3 linked regions of the Pelodiscus sinensis genome follow. The protein of the gene in region 2 binds, or shares a complex with, the protein of the main gene of each other region. Links are inferred from orthologs where the notes say so. Each region holds a gene or a part of one and is shown on either strand. Other genes may lie near its edges.

The links.
Region 1: RUVBL2 (region 2) and PFDN2 share a complex: the UniProt entries of both Homo sapiens proteins name them as parts of the PAQosome complex. The link is inferred for Pelodiscus sinensis from reciprocal best matches to the Homo sapiens genes RUVBL2 and PFDN2.
Region 3: RUVBL2 (region 2) and DNAAF10 share a complex: the UniProt entries of both Homo sapiens proteins name them as parts of the PAQosome complex. The link is inferred for Pelodiscus sinensis from reciprocal best matches to the Homo sapiens genes RUVBL2 and DNAAF10.

Annotation. Positions count from the first base shown.
Region 1 is NC_134734.1:16,077,416-16,081,158, forward strand, and holds the start of PFDN2 (prefoldin subunit 2), read left to right. Parts: upstream 1-1,576; 5' UTR 1,577-1,637; coding exon 1,638-1,730; intron 1,731-2,106; coding exon 2,107-2,195; intron 2,196-3,264; coding exon 3,265-3,388; intron 3,389-3,743. Other genes in the region: NIT1 (deaminated glutathione amidase), read right to left, coding at 1,393-1,394. UniProt on the Homo sapiens protein: Binds specifically to cytosolic chaperonin (c-CPN) and transfers target proteins to it. Binds to nascent polypeptide chain and promotes folding in an environment in which there are many competing pathways for nonnative proteins.
Region 2 is NW_027465870.1:30,780-34,522, forward strand, and holds the start of RUVBL2 (ruvB-like 2), read left to right. Parts: upstream 1-1,316; 5' UTR 1,317-1,413; coding exon 1,414-1,425; intron 1,426-1,520; coding exon 1,521-1,569; intron 1,570-1,962; coding exon 1,963-2,018; intron 2,019-2,220; coding exon 2,221-2,362; intron 2,363-2,666; coding exon 2,667-2,796; intron 2,797-3,072; coding exon 3,073-3,139; intron 3,140-3,743. UniProt on the Homo sapiens protein: Possesses single-stranded DNA-stimulated ATPase and ATP-dependent DNA helicase (5' to 3') activity; hexamerization is thought to be critical for ATP hydrolysis and adjacent subunits in the ring-like structure contribute to the ATPase activity.
Region 3 is NC_134713.1:181,846,564-181,850,306, forward strand, and holds the start of DNAAF10 (dynein axonemal assembly factor 10), read left to right. Parts: upstream 1-1,503; 5' UTR 1,504-1,627; coding exon 1,628-1,816; intron 1,817-3,743. Other genes in the region: RNA-binding protein PNO1, read right to left, coding at 1,233-1,442. UniProt on the Homo sapiens protein: Key assembly factor specifically required for the stability of axonemal dynein heavy chains in cytoplasm.

The sequences.
Region 1 (3,743 bases), on a different chromosome or scaffold from region 2:
GCGTTCACGAACAACCCTACCACAACACCCCAGCCAGATGGGCCCAGTGCTCACAATCTTACCACAACAAACTAGCCCAGGGCTCACAAACAATCCCACCACAACAAATGAGCAACGCCAACGCAATGCTCACAAACAGCCCTGCTACAACACATCAGCACAGACAGCCAGGTACTCATGAACAATCCTACCTCAGCTCACCAGCATTGTGCTGATGAACACAGCAGCCTGGTCAGCCCAGTGGTTGTGAACATCCCTACAACAACACACCAGCCTGGCTGGCCCTGCGCTTACTGCTTGGTGCACTCCTTGAAAAGCTTCCCAAAATACCAATATTTTGTCATCCAGATTCATGTTCCTTTCACAGTTGCTTTCCCTAAACATCTGACCAGGTTTTTTGATCTGAGGAAGTGGGTCTGGCCCACGAAAGCTCATCATCTAATAAACCATCTTGTTAGTCTTTAAAGTGCTACATTGTCCTGCATTTTGCTTCATCTGATCAGATGGGATTCTTGGGCTGAACAGCCCAGAAATATGACACTAAGAAGAGGACTCAGGCAGCCAGAGACAAAAAAACAGTTTCTTGCTGCTCATGGTTTATCTCCACAATAGCAGGAAGAAGGTCAAGTCTGGCTTGAGCAAAGCATGGGAATCTAGGGCGAACAGAAGACATCATGATCCAAGAACAAGAGTGTTGTATCTTTAAAGCTTCCTTCAGCCCAAATGTTAATATGCTGTTGAAGTTTAAAAGGTGTCAACACAAATCAAGAGTTTGAAATAGTTTGACTCAAAGTCCGTTCCTCTTTGAACTCTCACTCGTTGGGCTCCAGTGATTTACACTAGCGCTGCAGTTATCCGGGCAGCTGCCAGTCCTGGGACCTATTCCTGGCTATGTTTTGTTGCCCCTAAGTCTCAGAGTCTCCGGACGGATGGAAATAAAATGGGGAAAGCAGAGGAGCAACTCCAGCCTGCTAAGGGAATGGATGAAGCGTGGAAACGGTCAGCGCCACACACACAAAACAAGGAGGCGCCCAGGCCTCATCCCCTACCAGGGGCTCCCAGAAATCTTGGGTCCACCCCAGAACCCTGCCCCCTCTGCTCCTCGTCCCCAGCCCCTCCCACTGGCAATATCCAGCCTGCTCTAAACTGGCCAGTCCCTGGGAGGGGGGGGCGGCCCCACCCCCGATTCAGAGATGTGCCCCCCAACCCTCCTCAGGCAGCCCCCCTCGGCTCCTCCCCTCCCAAAACAGCCAGCCCCGCCCCTCACCCGCCCCCCCCCAAAAACTCCTGAGGCGGCCAGCCCCGCCCCCCCAAACTCCTGAGGCGGCCGGCCCCGCCCCCCCGAGGCGGCCGGCGCCCCCAGCCCCGCCCCATAGCGAGCCGGGCTGTTACATGGAGCAGGCAGCGGGGAAGGGGGCGACTCGGCTCCTGGGGCGCAGCTGCAGGGCCGGTCCCGCCGGAATCCTGCAGGGGGCGGGGAAGGGAGCGGGCGGAGCGAAGTCCGACAGAGCCCTTCACAAAGATGGCGCCTCAGGCCCAGCGTCAGGGCGCGTGCCCCAAACAAACATGGCGCCCGAGGGGGCCTTTTCCCGGCCGGTAGAAGACGTGACCCTGCCGGAAGTTGGGGCGTACGGAGCATGCGCAGAACGGGCGGGAAGATGGCGGACAGCGGCAAGAGCAAGCCCGCAGCGACGGCTCCATCCACCGGCAAAGCCCTGGCGGCGGAGCAGGTACCGGGCGGGTCCATCGCACCCTAAGAAGGGGGAAGTGTGTGTGGGGCGGGCCCATCGCACCAGGTGAGGAGGGGGGGTGTATGTCGGGCGGGCCCATCGCACCAGGTGAGGAGGGGGGGTGTATGTCGGGCGGGCCCATCGCACCAGGTGAGGAGGGGGGGTATGTCGGGCGGGCCCATCGCACCAGGTGAGGAGGGGGGGTGTATGTCGGGCGGGCCCATCGCACCAGGTGAGGAGGGGGGGGTGTATGTCGGGCGGGCCCATCGCACCCCATGGGGGTGGTGTATGGGCCAGGCGAGTCCATCTCTTGGGGGGGGGTTTCACTGAGCGCTCCCCCCCCCCCCCGTGACTGACCTTCTCCCCCCCCCCCCAGGTGGTGGCTGGATTCAACCGGCTGCGGCAGGAGCAGCGGAGCTTGGCCTCGAAGGCGTCGGAGCTGGAGCTGGAGCTGAACGAGCACAGGTGGGGGCAGGATCGGCCCCCCCTCTTCCCCCGTGCGCGTTTAGCTGCTCCCTCACCAGCCAGCCACGTGCCTGCTGCAGCGTCACCTGATGCCTTCTCTCAGCCCCGCCCCCCAGTGCAGCGCAGGGCCCAGCCCATGTGCCCCCTGCGCTGCTCAGCGGGGGAGGAACCCGCCCAGTGCTGGAAATGGTCACTGGCCCCCTGGGCTTTACCTGCCATCGTCAGGGGGATGTCGGGCTCTGCCCTTGGTGTTCAGGGCTTGCTTGGAGCCCTGATCCCATTGCGACTCTGCACACAGGGCTCTGGGTATCAGGTAGGCTGGGCCTCAGACTATAGTGCAGGGTCCAGTGGGGGGGCCACTGGCCCACAGAAAAATCATTCAGGGCCACCCACAAATAAGGAGCAAACAACCAAACCAAAAAGCTCAGCCTCAGCCTTCACTGGCCTGCTCTCCGAGTGAGAGAGGGGGAAAAGACGCATTCCCCACAAACTCCAGCGTCATGGCGGAGTGGAGTGCCGAGGCTCAGGACTTACCCCCAGAGCTGGATTAACTCCTCTGAGGTCCTGGGGCTAGTAGATTTTGTGGGGGCTTAGGCTCTGGAGTGAGTTAAACAATGAGGGGTTCATTGTGTTGGGGAGGGGGCTGCTGGGGAGTGGGATGAGGTGGTGGGGTCAGGGCAGGAGGCTGGGTATGGGAGGGGTAGGCCCAGCTCTGAGGGTCTGGGGCGCAGGTGACCCAGGGCTTGTAGGCACTGTCCCCCAGCCCCCCCATTAGCCATTATTCCTGGCCAGTGGGAGCCACAGGAGTAGATCTTTAAGTGAGCACAGAGGCAGAACTTTCCTATGTTGCTGTTCCCAGAGCTGCTTCCTCCCTGCCTATCAGGCGGAGCCTGCAGGCTGATCTGCTGGGGGAGCTCTGAGCTTTGTGGGCTGGGTCAAAGCAAACCCACTGGCTGGAGGTTCCCCTTCCCTGCTATAGCGACTGGCTGGGCCCTGTGGATCTGCAGCCCTGCCTGTACGGTCTCTGTGGTGCTGGGAGGGCCCTCAGCAGCATCTGCCTTTTCTACAGCCTGGTCATTGACACGTTGCAAGAGGTGGACCCCACCCGCAGGTGCTACCGCATGGTGGGTGGGGTGCTGGTGGAGCGCACTGTCAAGGAGGTCCTCCCTGCCCTGGAGAGCAACAAAGAGCAGGTAACATGGGTGCTAGGCATGGGCAGGGTCTGGGGAGGGCACAGACTGCTCTGTGCCTCACTGGCATGGGGGTGGGGATGTCATGCATGCTGGCTATGTGCCCTTTCTCTTGGTGAGGGAGTCTCTTCTCTAGTTTGCTAGAGGGGCCATGATGTGGTTAGTGCAGGGGTGGGCGGTGCATTGTGTCCAGGAATGGGGAAGGTGCTGGACCTCTCTCTCTGGGGCTCTGCTTGGGAGCTGGAAGGATATCTGCCTCGCTGGATTTCAAGGGGAGTTGGGTCCCTGTGGAAACCCTCACTCTGGGTCCCAGAAAGATCCTACCAAACCATACCTTGTCCCTAAGAGCAATTAGTCC
Region 2 (3,743 bases):
TGGGGGGGAGATGGGGGGCTGGATGCAGGGGGGGCTGGATGAGATGGGGGCTGGATGCAGGGGGGGTTGGAGGGAGATGGGGGGCTGGATGAGATGGGGGCTGGATGCCGGGGGGCTGGAGGGAGATGGGGGGCTGGATGCAGGGGGGCTGGAGGGAGATGGGGGGCTGGATGCAGGGGGGCTGGATGAGATGGGGGCTGGATGCAGGGGGGGTTGGAGGGAGATGGGGTCTGGAGGGAGATGGGGGGCTGGATGCAGGGGGGCTGGATGAGATGGGGGCTGGATGCAGGGGGGGTTGGAGGGAGATGGGGGGCTGGATGAGATGGGGGCTGGATGCAGGGGGGCTGGAGGGAGATGGGGGGCTGGATGCAGGGGGGCTGGAGGGAGATGGGGGGCTGGATGCAGGGGGGCTGGATGAGATGGGGGCTGGATGCAGGGGGGCTGGAGGGAGATGGGGGGCTGGATGCAGGGGGGCTGGATGAGATGGGGGCTGGATGCAGGGGGGGTTGGAGGAAGATGGGGTCTGGAGGGAGATGGGGGGCTGGATGCAGGGGGGGCTGGAGGGAGATGGGGGGCTGGATGCAGGGGGGGCTGGATGAGATGGGGGCTGGATGCAGGAGAGGGGGTCTGGGGGAGATGGGGGGCTGGATGCAGGGGGGGTTGGAGGGAGATGGGGGGCTGGATGAGATGGGGGCTGGATGCAGGAGAGGGGGTCTGGGGGAGATGGGGGCTGGATGCAGGGGGGCTGGATGAGATGGGGGCTGGATGCAGGGGGGCTGGAGGGAGATGGGGGGCTGGATGCAGGGGGGGCTGGATGCAGAGGGGGGGCCTGGGTGGAGAGGGGGCGGGGGGAACATGCGGGGCTCGCGGAGTCCCCCCCCCCAACTCACCTCCCCCCAGCGCCTCCAGCCACTTCGCAGCGCTGCTCTCAGACTGACCCCGCCCCTCCCCCGCCGGGCTCTGCTGCACCGGAGCCCCGCCCACCAGGGGCGTGGCCTGCGCGCCGCCCCGCCCCATGCGCGCCGCCTGATTCTGAGTGGAGCCCGCAGGCGCCCGAGGGCTCTGATTGGCTAACGTGGCCGGTGCCCGGCGGGGGAGGGACACGTGGGGGAGGGGACGGTACGTGCTTCAAGGTCTTAAAGGGGAAGTGTCACCAATTCCTAGGGAGGGGCGCGGGGCGGGAGGAAGTGGCGGGCGGGGCGGGGCGGGGCGGAGTGAGGAAGGGGCCGCCAGGCAGGGCAGGGAGAGGGGCGGGGCCAGAGTCGGGGGGCGGGGCCAGGGAGGGGGCGGGGCTGGAGGACCGCGGGCCATCGAGCGGCGGCGGGAGCGGCTCCCTCCGCTCAGCGCGTGGCGGCGACGGGCCACTTCCGGTTTCCGGTCCGCGCCGGCGGCTCGCTGCGGTCTCCGAGCAACATGGCAACGGCGGTGAGCGCGGCCGCCCCGCCCCCCCGGGCCCCCCCGGGCCCCCCCCGCGCGCTCCCCCCCCCCGCCCTCCCTGACCGGTCTCTGTCTCTCCGCAGAGCACGAAGGTGCCCGAGGTTCGCGACGTGACGCGCATCGAGCGCATCGGTGAGTCCCCCCCGGGCCCGGCTCGGTCTCCATGGCAACGGGGCGCCCCTCGTGCGGGGCGAGGAGCGGGGCAGCAGCGGGGGGCGGGGCGAGGGGCGGGGCAGCAGCGGGGGGCGGGGCGAGGGGCGCGCGGGGCGGGGCAGCAGCGGGGGGCGGGGCGAGGGGCGCGGGGGGCGGGGCAGCAGCGGGGGGCGGGGCGAGGGGTGGGGCAGCAGCGGGGGGCGGGGCGCGGGGGGCGGGGCAGCAGCGGGGGGCGGGGCGAGGGGCGCGCGGGGCGGGGCAGCAGCGGGGGGGCGGGGCGAGGGGCGCGCGGGGCGGGGCAGCAGCGGGGGGGCGGGGCGAGGGGCGCGCGGGGCGGGGCAGCAGCTGACGGTGCCTCCCCTCTGTCCCCAGGCGCCCACTCCCACATCCGCGGGCTGGGCCTGGACGATGCGCTGGAGCCCAGACAGGTACCGGGGGGGGGGGGCTGAGTGGGGGGCGGGCGCCTTGGGGGGGTGGAGCTGGGCAGGTCTGGCAGGAAGGGGGGGTCCCCTATGGGGGGAGGCTGCACGTGACTGGGGTAGAAGGGCGGGTCTGTGGGTGTGGGGCGGGGGGGCGGGGGGGGGGCTGGCCGGACCCCCCCTTGCCAGCACCCACCCTGTCTCTCCCCAGGTCTCGCAGGGCATGGTGGGCCAGCTGGCTGCCCGGCGCGCCGCAGGCGTCATCCTGGAGATGATCAAGGAAGGGAAGATCGCCGGCCGGGCCGTCCTCATCGCTGGCCAACCGGGCACCGGCAAGACGGCCATCGCCATGGGTACCGCGCTCAGGGCACTGGAGTCCCTCCTTGCCGGCTCCCCCCCCATCCAGGAATCCCCATCACACGCACCCACCCCTTCCTTAGAGTCCCTGCCCCATCCGAGGAATGCTCTCACGGGGTGTCTGCCCCGCACCCAGGGAATCCGCCCCCTCTCCCTGCCTGGGAATCCCTCCCACCCTGGCACTCTGCTGTAGATGGCTGGACCCTTCGAGGGAGTTGCCCTGCCCTGAGTGGTGGCTCAGGAGCAGGGATCCTCGGCTTGCCTCTCCCCCCGTGTAACTAGGTCCCCCCTGCCCCCCAGGCATGGCGCAGGCACTGGGGCTGGACACGCCCTTCACGGCCATCGCGGGCAGCGAGATCTTCTCCCTGGAGATGAGCAAGACTGAGGCGCTGACCCAGGCCTTTCGGCGCTCCATCGGCGTGCGCATCAAGTGAGGGGCGGGCCTGGACCCCAGGGTTCTGGCTCAGCACTGGTGGGGGGGGCTGGGGGGTAACAGCAGGGGCTTGGGAGCCTGGGCTGTGGGGTTCTCGTGCTGGCTCTGGGAGGGGGGTGGGTAGAGCAGCAGGGCTGGGAGCCAGGCGGGTGCCATAGTGGGCACAGAGCTGCCTGCCCATGGGGGGCGATTGGGGAAGCTGTTCCTGTGTCCCAGGGAGCCACTGGCAAGATGTGGGGGGAGGACTGAGCTTGGCCCTCTCCTTCGCCACAGGGAGGAGACCGAGATCATTGAGGGGGAGGTGGTGGAGATCCAGATCGACCGCCCAGCCACCGGCACCGTGAGTAGGGCGGGGGCAGGGTGGTGGGGCTGGCTGGCTGGGGACAAGACAACTGGCTTGGCTGGCACTGCCATGCTCCTGCCCCCATCTTGTGCCCCTCAGAACAGGTCCCCTCCCATTCCCTGCCCCCCCCCCGAACACGCCCCTCCCTCTCACCGGTCCCTCACTTGTGATGTCCACGTGCAGAGTGAATGTTACGTGTGCGAGCAGGTGGCGACTGGCCCATCCCCTCCATCATGGCGCACGTCACGTTCATTCTGGGCGTGGACAGTCTGGCCGGGCTGGGGCCAAAGGGTTCGGCGGGTGGGAGCAGGCTCTGGCTGGGGGTGTGGGATCCGTGGTGGGGCTGGGGCTGAGGGGTTTTGGGTACAGGCTCTGCCAGGCCTTTCTCACTGCCGCAGCTCCGGGCCAGGTGCGGGGCGTGTGTCTGCCCACCGTGGCAGCTCTAAGGCCCTGAGCCCCTGCACCGGGGGGTTAGAAGGCTGCCCCGTGGCCACACAGCTTAGGGTGAACTTAGCCCCCATTCCCTGCCTCCCCTCTGCAGGAACTGGCCTCTTCCCCCCCCCCCTCCCCCCAGAATGGGAACCTCCCATTCTCTACTCCA
Region 3 (3,743 bases), on a different chromosome or scaffold from region 2:
AACGCAGCCAGGGAAGTAGCCCAAATCTTTCCTTACCAGACTGTTTTTCCAACAGTCAGCCTTCCCCAAATACTGACAGACTGAGGGACAATTGCCACTTGATAACATATTTACTTTCCACAATAAACTCTGTAAAATTGCCCATGAGTGATATAACCAAATACTTGTTCACCAATACCTAAATTGTACTGTTTAACTTGCACATCTAAATCTAGGTCAATGCTCATTATGGACTGTATGTATCTCAAAATTCTTAGCAAAACTTTTAGGTTTAGATCATTCAAACATGACACCTCGTTGTAGATACTTTCCCTTCTTTATCTGTGTACCATATCAATCTTTAATTTAAAAGATTAGCTTTAGTGCAATTTTACTGGAAACAGGCAGTGCCAGGGTACTGGAGAGTTATTAGCAATTACTTCAACTTTTAAAAAGCTGAAACTTCTTGCTGCAAATGTTTCCCCAACTACTCTTGCTTAGTTTCAAAACAATGCTCTTCAGTACCAAGTTAACAAGCTCATCTTCACTGGAGAAAAAGTGTGTCTGCAAAAATTACTATAAAACCGGAAATCTAAATTCTAGCTAAAGGGACATAGTCCACTGAAAAGTTACACTTCCATCTAAAAATGTGTACCTATCATTTCTAATATCACTTGAGCTGAAAAGAGGAGAAAGTGGCTGCTTTTTTCTAGTTACACCCTTCAGCACACGACTTACTGGTCTCATTATTTCCCAGCACGGTCATGTATCATGTGTGTATACAAAAAACAAAAGGAGAAAACCCATGAAACAATTCCGTAGCCGCAAAACCAGAGAAGTTTACGGGTGGAGTCAAGATTAGGTCTAGCGCCCTCGACTACTTTTCTTGCTTTAAAAAAAAAAAAAATCAGCTTTCAAATTAACAACATCGCTCAACACGACAGCTTCATCGGCAGGGAGGTGAAACCTAACAACTTCTCCGCTGCCCCCGGTACTCCCACTGCGCCCTTATCTACAGCCCTAAGGCGACAGGACACCCCCCCCCCCAAACCCCGGGCTGCCACACGGCTGGCGGCCGGACCCAGCTGTGAGCCACGCTAGGAGCTCGGCCTTGGCACGGAGGCGGCGCAGGGGAGCTTCTCCCCCATGGCGGCCCCCGGCGAGCAGGGCTCGGTGACAGCGGACCGGGCAGCGCGGGGCCCCGGAGCGACACCCCCGAGATTAGGCCCAAGGCCCGGCGCGTCCCGTCTCACCCTGAGCGCGTCCGCGGAGACGGGGGGGAAGTTGGGCCTCTTGCTGGGCCGGGGCTGCCCCGTGTCCATGGGGGCCCCGCCCCGCTCCAGCTCGGCCGCCCGTCGCTTCCGTTTGCCCCGCCGGGGGACCTTGATAAAGCCGCCGGCCTCCGCCGCGCCCTGGGTCTGCGGGGCTGGGACCCCGGCCCCGTCCTCCACCGGCCCTTCCATGCAGCACCCCACGTGCGGGCGAAGCCGGGCTAAAAGATCGACGTAGCCCGGGCCCACGGAGACGTCACTTCCGCCCCGAGTGATGCCTGCCGCGGGAGCACTGGCGTGAGCCCCGGATGTTGCCGTTGCTCGCTGGGCACCCGGCTCGTGGTTGAGTCGCCGCAGGCCGCGGCGGTTGGGGCGGCATGTCGGGCGCGGGGATGGAGAAGCCGCAGCTGATCGCGCACGTGCAGCAGTCGCTGAACTACACCGTGTTCGAGTGCAAATGGGTGCCGTGCAGCGCGCGCCTGCTCTGCCTCGGCAGCGTCCCGCGCGGCACCGGCCTCATCCAGCTCTACGAGCTGCAGAGTGGCCGCCTCAGCCTGCTGCGCGAGGTGAGTGTCGGCAGCCGCCCGGGCGCTGCTCCCCCCTGCCCGCTGGGCTCTGCCGAGGGGGGGTGCCGCTCGCCCCCTGAGCTCTGGTAACCTCTTTACGACCCCCCCCCCCCCCCGCCTCTGAGTCTCTTCTCAGGCCCCTCAGTGTCTCCTCCCTCCCCCGTGAGCTGCTGTCCGCTACAGCGGGTGCCAGGACCCGCAGCACCTGCTCCCTGAGGGTTGGTTGCCATGGTAATGTTGGGGCACGCCGGGCCTGCCCAACCCAGGGTGCTGGGCAGGCGGCCCCTCAGCCGTCTGGCCGGGGTGTAGGGTGGAAGCACAAAACTCTCCCCTTCCTTTGAAAATCTCCCTCCCTCCCCCGATAAAGATGCTGTCAGCACCCCGCTGATGCAGTCTGCAAGAATGGTCTCATTTTTTTCCTCACACACCTTGCAGATGAAAGGAGGAGAGGTCTGGTAAGACAATGTAGTCCTTCCCCCTGCAGTCACCAATAAAGAACAGGAACCCCGGGTATGTGGCTGTCTCATAGACTTTAAGGTCACTTCATATGCTGCCTTCTAATGACACTTTTTGCCTCAAATGACTAGAACCCTGTATGGATACGTAATTCGTACCCGCATAAATAATTTTCGAGTGTAGATACCAGCACATAAAGAATATCCAAAAATGGAAAAATTCATCTAGAACCTTATACATCCATGTGCAGAATTAATGTTTCTGTGCACTGAGGCATGCAAACAATGTGCACCTTCAATAGAAACACACAACCTTCCTGTGGGCTCTCTGCTAGTCAGCTGGGCAGCATTTTAATTTCTCTGGTGTGGCAGGAGCACACTGCTTACAGGGAATACTGTTCTAGTGACAACATTTGTATCCACAAAAATCTGTATCCATGGAGAGCTGCATTCACATCTGTGTATGTGGATATCTTGGGATATAAAGCAGATATCCATGGATTTGCAGGATGCTACAGGTGACCCCAAAGTCATCTGGTAAAACATACGTAGTAATGAATTGCAGTCACCACTTGAGTGGAGAGTGGCATATTTCACACAGGGTACTTCTAAATGGGGATAGGGAAGGAAGGAGAATATTGTCAAGGTAAAACATGTAAACAGTGTTTCAAGCCATCCTTTTCTTTAAAAAGAACATAAATTAAATTAAAAAACAAACTTTAAAACTCAACTTTAAAATGTCTACTTCATTGACTGGTCTTACATGGAATTTCCTAGAAACTCTCCAGCTTCATTTCTCATTCTGATGCTTACATAAGAGCATACATGCCATATGCTGCCTGCACTGTGGGAGGGTGTGAAGGAATGGTTCCACTGAAGCTTTTTAAAATACTTCAGTGTCATTTAAAGATCTCCTTATATTAAAAGATTAATCTGATTTCTTACTGTTCAACTCAGGATGGCCGAACTCTTCTGTCTGTAATGTGTATTTTCCCTGTTTTGAGGCTAAAAATAGTAGGTATGTATTAGAGTAGTATCTTCATGCTGAGATCCAAAGGATTTTACGACCAGGTACCTTGCAATAATGCTGGCAACTAATTTGTTTGTTAAAATCAGCTTAAGAAGTTTTTTTGATTGGGATTAATGTATTATCGAGTACACTGTTCCTAAAAATGATTTTACAAGTCTGTACTGTACTGTATTTGGATTTTAGACTCCGATGTGCTGCCAGAATTTTAACAAGAGCTTATATATTTCTACCTCAGCCATGTCACCACTTCCATACAAGAAAAAAATCCATATCCCTCCTTTATCTCCCAAGTATAATATGCATCCTCCAGTCCAGTATTCCATGACCTTAAGTATTTCTTACTAACTTGCTGAGGTTTCTTTAGCTGGCTCCTCTACCTGGCATCCTTTCTGTTAATCAGTTGTGGGAGTGAGGAGGAAATGCCTTTCCTCCTCAAAATCCA